Linked DNA regions of Caenorhabditis elegans. The protein of the gene in region 2 interacts with the protein of the main gene of each other region in a pairwise test. Each region holds a gene or a part of one and is shown on either strand. Other genes may lie near its edges. The genes, in order: cdc-26 and emb-27.

The links.
Region 1: the proteins of emb-27 (region 2) and cdc-26 interact in a two-hybrid assay, tested with the Caenorhabditis elegans proteins (2 studies listed by BioGRID).

The regions. Positions count from the first base shown.
Region 1 is NC_003279.8:10,638,400-10,642,030, reverse strand, and holds cdc-26 (Anaphase-promoting complex subunit CDC26), read left to right. Parts: upstream 1-1,797; 5' UTR 1,798-1,803; coding exon 1,804-2,008; intron 2,009-2,053; coding exon 2,054-2,112; intron 2,113-2,157; coding exon of another isoform or gene 2,158-2,190; intron 2,191-2,279; coding exon 2,280-2,532; coding exon of another isoform or gene 2,533-2,540; exon of another isoform or gene 2,541-2,576; coding exon 2,577-2,644; 3' UTR 2,645-2,955; downstream 2,956-3,631. Other genes in the region: eif-3.E (Eukaryotic translation initiation factor 3 subunit E), read left to right, coding at 1-189, 236-712, 768-1,223; mrps-30 (Mitochondrial Ribosomal Protein, Small), read left to right, coding at 3,075-3,631. UniProt on the Caenorhabditis elegans protein: Probable component of the anaphase promoting complex/cyclosome (APC/C), a cell cycle-regulated E3 ubiquitin ligase that controls progression through mitosis and the G1 phase of the cell cycle.
Region 2 is NC_003280.10:8,159,365-8,164,444, forward strand, and holds emb-27 (Cell division cycle protein 16 homolog), read right to left. Parts: upstream 2,807-5,080; 5' UTR 2,806-2,806; coding exon 2,720-2,805; intron 2,674-2,719; coding exon 2,569-2,673; intron 2,525-2,568; coding exon 2,020-2,524; intron 1,974-2,019; coding exon 1,574-1,973; intron 1,531-1,573; coding exon 1,164-1,530; intron 1,114-1,163; coding exon 819-1,113; intron 775-818; coding exon 565-774; 3' UTR 501-564; downstream 1-500. Other genes in the region: pch-2 (Putative pachytene checkpoint protein 2), read left to right, coding at 1-226, 273-467; rrf-3 (RNA-directed RNA polymerase), read left to right, coding at 3,194-3,261, 3,317-3,926, 3,973-4,208, 4,256-4,369, 4,420-4,777, 4,823-5,080.

The DNA.
Region 1 (3,631 bases), on a different chromosome or scaffold from region 2:
GGAAAACCTATTCCGGCTGCAATTGAGGCTAAGAAGAAGCAAATTATCAAGGAGAGAGATGAGCTGAAAAGCAAGGTGGACTCCGTTGTTGCCATTTTGGAAATACCGGAAGTCAAGGAAATGATGGATAACAACAGAGAAAGAGATGGAAATGTCCGTATTTTGGAGCATCTCACTCAAAACCACAATGTACGTTTTTGCTTTGCAGTTTCGAAAATAATCTTAATTCTTGCAGTTCACAGTAGACATGGTCGATACCCTCTTCAAGTACAGCAAGTTCATGTACGAATGCGGAAATTACACCGTCGCATCCGTGTGCCTTTACTACTACCGCAACCTTGTCAATCAAGCGGATCCAAACTATTTGAACGCTCTTTACGGAAAGTTGGCCAGTGAAATTCTGCTCCAAGAATGGGAACATGCTCGTGACGATTTGCTGAAACTTCGTGCTTACATCGATGCTAATCCATTCGACACGGAATGGGAACTTGTTACGCAACGTGCGTGGCTTATGCACTGGGCACTTTTCGTCTACTACAATTATCCAAAAGGGCGTGATGAGATTATCGAAATGTTCTTGAACCAGCAACCTTATTTGAATGCAATCCAAGTTTTGGCGCCACATTTGCTCCGCTATCTGGCTGTTGCCGTTGTTACCAGCAAAAGCCGCCAGAAGAACAGCTTGAAAGATTTGGTGAAGGTCATTGACATCGTGAGTTTAACTATTTTCTATATGAAAATATGATTAATTATTTGTTTTTCTACAGGAACGCCATAGTTACAAGGATCCCGTCACTGATTTCCTCACCTGTCTCTACATCAAATATGATTTCGACGAGGCTCAAGAGATGCTTCAAAAGTGCGAAGAGGTTCTCTCCAATGATTTCTTCCTGACTGCTGTCCTTGGAGATTTCCGCGAGTCTGCACGCCTTCTCATTTTCGAGATGTTCTGCCGCATTCATCAGTGCATTACCATAGAAATGCTAGCACGACGATTGAATATGAGCCAAGAGGAAGCTGAACGCTGGATTGTTGACTTGATCAGAACGTATCGTATCGAAGGAGCTAAAATTGACAGCAAGTTGGGACAAGTGGTGATGGGTGTCAAATCCGTCAGCATCCACGAGCAAGTCATGGAAAACACGAAGAGATTGACCCTCCGCGCTCAACAAATCGCCCTTCAATTGGAAAAAGGTCGTCAAGACAAAGTCAAGGCGACTTAGGCTTTACAAGTTCTTCCGGTTTTGAATGTTTTTTCCTTTTTCTTCATCTGATGCTGTTCTGAAAATTGAGATGTGGCAAACACGGAGATTAAGACTGTCATCTCTCAGTTTTCAGTATTATTTTTCTTTCTTATTTGTTCAGCTCCTCGGTTTTTTACGAGGACTACTCGAATTCTGTCTTTTCTAAACTTTCCTTATATCCCTGTTGTTTCTTTTTGTTGTCTCTGACCCTTCTTTCGTTAGTGCAGGGGCTGGAGGTTCGGTTCTAATTGGTTAAAATAATATATTTTCTCTTTTATCATGGTTTGATTATTGTTAGAATCTAGGTTTATGAAACCTTTCAATATATATTTATTGCCGTTGCCGAGAAATTGTTTGAAATTATTTTTTGTGAGGAAAAACACTTCCATCTGTATATTTTGTCATTTCTGTTGAATTTGCCTTACTTTTTCGCTAATTACAGAAATATTTAAGCCATAGGTTCGATTTTGCCGTTTAAAAATTAAATCTCCAAAAATACACATTTTCGCCAATTCACAGTTTTTATGAAATTAAATAATTTATCTCACTCTTTTTCAGTATGTCAATGTTACGGCGTCCATTAACACAATTAGAATTGTGTGAGGACGATATCCAATGGCTGACAGATCAACTGAACAAGAGGGTACTTCCAGCTGTGATCGTGCCAAAATGCGAAATGATGGATATTGACGAAATGGAGCCGATGGATCAGAGTGAGCCTCCACGTGGCATAACTAGGAGAAATCTCAGATCGGCGGATAGAAGTGAGATGATGATTTATTTAATTTTTCCTAACCTAGCTTTTTCAGAGAACAGAGACGTTCCAGGACCAAGTACGGGAGAGTGCACGCGTACTTCCATTGCACCGGTAATTTTTTTTTTTAAATTAAATGTTTTAAACATTACCTTTTAGAATCGATGTGAAATGTCATTCACTGAAGTGCAGGTGACATAATTTTGTGTTGTTGGTGTTTCGAACACTTATTTCTATTCACTTTTTCATATTTATCTTATGGCTATTCTCCGTATTTCCAGACTTTAACATCTGCTCGAACTCCTGTCGCTGCTCCAACTCTAACACTTTCGACGCCAGTCAACCCTGTCTCATCAGCTGAAATGTTGAGAGTTATGCCACCTCGTGTAGGTCGACGTCCACGAGCTTCTCGTTCTGGTGACAATGATTCGCCACTCCTCTTCAACGCTTATGATACACCACAGCAAGGAATCAATGACGAATCTCCAACACCCTCTGACTCTCCCGAATCTCCTAATGCTCATCTCTATGGTGGTCAATGAGTTGTTGGAGGAATATTGTCAATATTTTATTTTCAGCTACTCCCGGCAATCCTACTTCAACTTCTGGAGGACCTTCTTCAAATACACGATCTCACAGACACTAACAACTACTGGTCAGGGTTGTGTTTAGGCAAACGTGCAAAACCCGCTTATTTCAATATAATAATTCACTTTTTGATCTAAAATTGATTTAGAAACGTAGAAAAACTTTTAGAGGTCTTCTCAAGCTTTTCATTAAAAGTGAACCGTTTTATACATTTCTATATTTATCAATTTTTAATTTTTTAAAAACTTGGATTGTTATACTGAAATTCGCAGTTTTACACGCCCTGCTACTGATCTCCCTTTCAATTCCAACTTCCTCAGCGTGCTTTCTTCTTTTTTCGAACTAAATAAATTTGTACAATATTTGAAACAAATATTTCTGAAATGCTACATTTACTGTCATAGTCTGTGATTTTTCTATCTTTCTTTGTTTTTTGAAATTCCAATATTTCATTAATTCTTCACCAGCCCTGTTTCAGAAATTGCAAGATGCACGGGTTAAAACGAAGTCTGATGATCAGAACAGTCTGCCGTGGAAAGGCAACAACTGCAGGAGCAGATCTACCACAATCATCACAAGAAATCGAAGTTACCACCCCAAAATCAGAAAATGTTCCAGCCAAATCAGCGAACGCTTCAACTGTATATCGTCCGCCATACTATCGAAAGCCACATCAGCACCACGAGCCAAAGCATATGCTCCAAGAGGAATTTGTGAACGCTGGCGATGCATCTGGAGCAGGAGTTCGCGTTTTCGACTACTACAAGACTGCAGAAATGGTCCATTCAATGCCAACAATTAAAGAGAAAATTGATTTCGTCTCACCGTACGAGCGACCGTGGACCCGCGCAGAAAAGACATGGCGTAGAGATTGGCATCCAACGTTGATGGCAACACGCAAAGCTTGGGGAATTCCACCGACACCGGCACATTTTGATACTTTGGATTATTATAAATACCTTACAAAGACCAGAGTAGAAAATGAGTCACTTGATGATTTTTATCATGGATTAAGACCTCCGACAGCTGATTTGCAGACAAGTTT
Region 2 (5,080 bases):
TAGAATCAGGAGACGTGATAACGTACTTATTCTGTGTACGTCGAACCTGGAATCAACTCTGGATAAAGCTCTCGTTGATCGAGCCGACATTGTAAAAAATGTCGGGCAGCCTTCGGACTTTGCACGATATTCTATGCTGAAATCATCAATTATGGAATTGGCCCGGATTGGTGTTGTTATTGATAATGAAGTTCACACTGATTATTGGCCACAAGATATTTGTGATGTGAGTTTAACACAAATGTTTCGAAATAATTGTCAACTGTTTACAGACGAAAGCACCAAGAAATGAGTTTACCGAGATTCTTTTTAAAATCGCCCAAGAAGCGCGTGGACTCTCTGGACGAGCAATATCCATGCTTCCTACACTGGTTTATTCAAAAAGTCCGGAAGAAACTATCACACTGCCGAATTGCATGAATCTCTTTCTCGAGGCTGTAAAAGAGCGTCTGAGTAGAAATAATTAAATTTTATGCGTTGTTTTTTGTCATTCTCGAAATGAAGGATTAAAAATTTATAATTGAAAGACTTAAAAATTGGATGAATAAATAAAGTTGCGACATTTTACACTTGATTTCCTGCATCGTTATCTGGCTCTTGTGCATATAGTTGATCCTGTCTTCGCAAACGATCTCTCAGCATCGACATAAATGGTTGGCTTGACGATACGATGGACGGAACAACGAATCCATCATTTCGTGGTTTTCTTATTGCACAGTACGGAAGAATTTCTTGTGCACCGAAGTATGTTTCAGAGTTGTATGCGGGCGGGAGCTGAAAACAAAAAACCTAGATAACATAAGATATAGTATATTTACCGTTTGTTGATCAACAGAATAACTTTCTTTTGACGCTTGAATCATTTTTGACAGACATTGACGGATTGTTTCATTAAATGGATCGATCGCAAGAGCTTTATTGAAGAATTCAGTTGCTTTATCAATGTTGCCGAGAACTGCGTAACAGAGAGCAGTTGATGCAATGGCATCTACAAACTTTGGCTCCATTCGGATAGCTTTTTGATAAAACATGATTGCTTCATTCAGCCTTCCTTGCCGTCTGGCTATGTGGCCAATGTTATTGAGCATTGGGTGCCAAAAGTCGTCGATTTTCCTGAAAAAATGTTATTTTTCTCTCAAATAATCATCGAATTAGATACTTACTTTTTCAAGACTTCTTCAATTGGAATGATTTCATCGGTCTCTGTAACCATATACAAAACAGTTCTGAATAAAATATCGGCTTCCGCGTAACTTTTTGCAGTATAGGCTACACAAGCTTCTTCGTGACGAATCAGAGGGTCATTCGGTGCCCGAGCAACTGCTTCTCCCATGAACTTCTTGCTCAGCTTCTGACTATGCGTACTGTACTGAAGAGAAGTGTACAAGAACGGTTCAGAACTTTTATCCACAAGTTTCGACGCTCTGTAATAGCAACTCATGGACTGTTCGTGTTCAACTTCATAGTGAAGAATATGACCAAAAGCCACCCATCCTTCAGCAAACGTCGAATCCATCATCGTGCATTTACCTAAAGAAGCTCTATTTAAACCTCAATGAAATGGGAAACATACTGATGAAATTTCGAGCTCTTGAGTTTGCTCCAATACTATAATAATACATAGCAACACAATACCATGGAAGTGGAATATGAGGATCATCACTAACTAGTTGATGACCTAATTCAAGCAGAGATCGAGAATCCTTTAACATTGTTAGGCAGTGAATACGAAGAATAATGCACTCAGGATGTGGTCCAAATAGATCAAATAGCTCGTCAGTGATTTTTTTTGTTTCTCGAAATCGACCCATCTCGTAGGCACGTTGAGCACGTTCCATAAGAATTCGTGGATCATGATTTCCTTCGTGTAACTTCAGCTGTTCATTTCTGACTTTTCTGTACTTCTCCCACATCGCAGGCTCAACCAGATTGTATTTTGCCATTAATCGTTCGACATGGAGAGTTGTATTATCCTGAAATAATAAAACACGGTCAAATCATGTATAAAAGATGACTTACAAGACTCAGCGCGTAATTAATACAAATCATTGCAGCATCACGATTCATCAATTTCAAAAAACTTTCTGCTATGGTTATCATAAGAGCTGGAACCATTCTGAGCTTTTTAGAGCTATTATCCAATTCGGCCATATTTGCAAATGAGTACTTCATTCTTTCTTCCTCGACATATCTCCCCGTCACTTGTGAAAGTGTTCGAACAGGAAGAGGTCCAATTTGGCCATTACTTGGAAGAAGATGACCGACCGATAATTCAGCTACATCTTCGTATAATTTCCGTTGGAAAAGTGCGGTAGCGGCATAATAAGCAAAAACAATGTGAATCTGATGATAGTTCCCACGAGCAATAATATGGCTAATACGCCGCCATTGACGGAGAACGACGAGAATTTTTACGTATTCAGCGATGGTGACAATATCTTGCTGTTCATCATCAATTATATTAGAGTATAATGTATCCGCGTAAGCTACAGCTTCATCGGTTCTGCCGATTTCAAGCATTTCCCTAAAAATATAACATATTAATATATATGCTGGTCTCAAACTGACATCACTTTCTCCATGCTCGCCTCGTCATAATACTCCGATCCATCAATTCTACTTGCAAGTGTTTTAATCGGCTTGAAACGAATAGACTCGTGTTTCGGCAAATCTCTGAAAAATTGTAGTTTGAAAAAGAAATGTTATTTATTAAACTCACAAAGATGATGCTGGCTTGCTTGAGGAACCTTCATCAGCCAATGTCGGAATCGCAAAACTTTTTGTATCAGGCGAGATCGCGCTCATGCTGTAAAGGCTTCGTATATTTGTTTAGTAAGTAGAGAACTTAAGTTAAGCAACAAGAATTGTAAAATAGAAATTCAATAATGACGTTAATTGCAATGGAACTGTTGTGAAAAAGTGTTGAGATTATAGTCTTATTTTTAGATTATAATTTTACAGCTTACACGGAGTAGTTACAGCTACTTTAACTAAATAACATAAAGGCGCGCCTAGGCGCTTAAAAACAAAATAAAAAGGATTTAATGCTTGATCAAATTTAAATTTTAGCCGTAACTGCGGAGTCTCGTTGCTAATTGTCAATGGAGCGAACATACATCATCAAATTTTTGAATAAAATTGTTTCTCATTTTTTTCGTAAAATAAATGCCATTTTCAAAAAGTCTTTCACAAAATGCTCCCGTTTGATAATGATGACTCTAGCGATGATGCTACAACTTCTGTTAGGCCGAAGCATCCAAGGTAATTGAAATTCGGTGAGCAAACGGTAGTCAAATGAAACAATGTTTTTTTCCAGAGGAGTTCCTCAGAGTCAATCAACATTTCCACGTGGTAGATCGAATTTTTCGTCTGGAACTTTACCAAATCGAAAAACAGAATGCACTCCAGTGAACACCTTAACAATTGGGCATTCAAACAAGATGCTATTGACAACGTTTCGGATGGATCGAAATTCAAAATCTAAATCGGAAGTTGACGTACAAGAACAGCCTGTTCACTCTTCATCGTCGGCTTTTCCAGGAAATCATTTAAACAATTTTTCGTATCCAGTGAATCGTGGATATCTTCGTGATTACCTGCTACAGTCACAAAGGCCTTCTACTTCAAAACCAGTCGACTGTTCTGTTCTAAAACGGCACTCTCTCCCATCAACTCACATTCTTTATGAGAAAACGAAGCACAGAGGTGGTGTAAATATCGAAGAACAAGAAAAACTCGTGCGGATGTTATGGGCCGCTGCAGAAGAATCGGAAACAGTTGCGAAGACGAGACAGTTTAGTAAAAAACAGGCGATTGAGCTGAATTTCGATGCTAAGCTCATTGGCAGCATGAATAATGATTGCTTTGGATATTGCCGAGCACACATGGAAAATATAAAAGATGTTTTGAAAACACACTTGAAATTGGTAAGCGATTTTTTAATTGGCCGTATTTGAAACAATTTAATTTCAGTCTAAAGTTGACGAGGTAAACTGGATCAAGGTGGGGATGGTGCCACGAGCTGCGTACGAAGATAAATCATACGTCATCGATGCTCATTTAGTTTTGACGCCAAACGGTGAAGTAGAAGATGAAAATGAATTGTTCTCCGAGTTCGCATCAAGTTTCACATCTAGAATAACTGGAATGCTCCATGATCAAGTATTTTTGGAAGTCCCGAAAATGCATACGCTTTTCACAAAAATAACGTAATAGAATACTCATCCGCTTTTTATATACTCAAGTTATAATTTAGACCCCAACACATGGATATAAATATTTCTGCGATTGCGATTGGAAACTGCCCTAATTCAGGACTTTTCCTTGTTAGAGGAGATTTCATCAGTCAAGAAAACACAGTTTGTAGTGTGTAAGTTGCACATATTCTACAGAATTTCTAATCAGATTTTTGTTTTTAAGAAAGCTTCAGTCACACCATAATGCAGATGCATCCCGTGAAAACAGTTCATTCAAAGTGGCAGGAAGCAATAAATACCTCTCGTATGCGAGATTTGAGCATGACAAAAGACTGGCAGTGGTATATTTCGGAGTTCGATTAGCCGAATTCGCTGATGATGGTTTGGATCATGCCGGATTTCGTCTTAATCTATATTATAATTTGTTTGTTCGAATTGTTGTCGACATGTCTCATGAAACTACGAACAGTATTTATATACAAATGAAAAATCCACCGCATCTCTGGGAAGGAATTCCGAAAAATACGATTTTTCACCCATCAAAGTCGAAGGTTCTCAATATGGAAACGTGCACAGAATGGGTGATATGGTATGCAAATAACTTTTAAAAACTTGTAAATTTTCAGACAAGAGTATTGAGTTGGCCTGGCGATGCTGAGGGCCGAGGTGTCGGTTGTACTTCTGAAGCTTTCTCGCAAAGCTCCTGGATCCGGTTGACAATGAGAAAAGATGATGATAACGATTCGGTATCGTCTACACAATTGATGGATATTGTTACTAGACTTTCTGCTCGAAGCAAAGCAAAAGTGATGTTCGGCTCCATTTTTTCAATTCGCCGAAAACTTGCACCATCCCCGGCTTTCCATTCTCTGGGATCTTTCCGA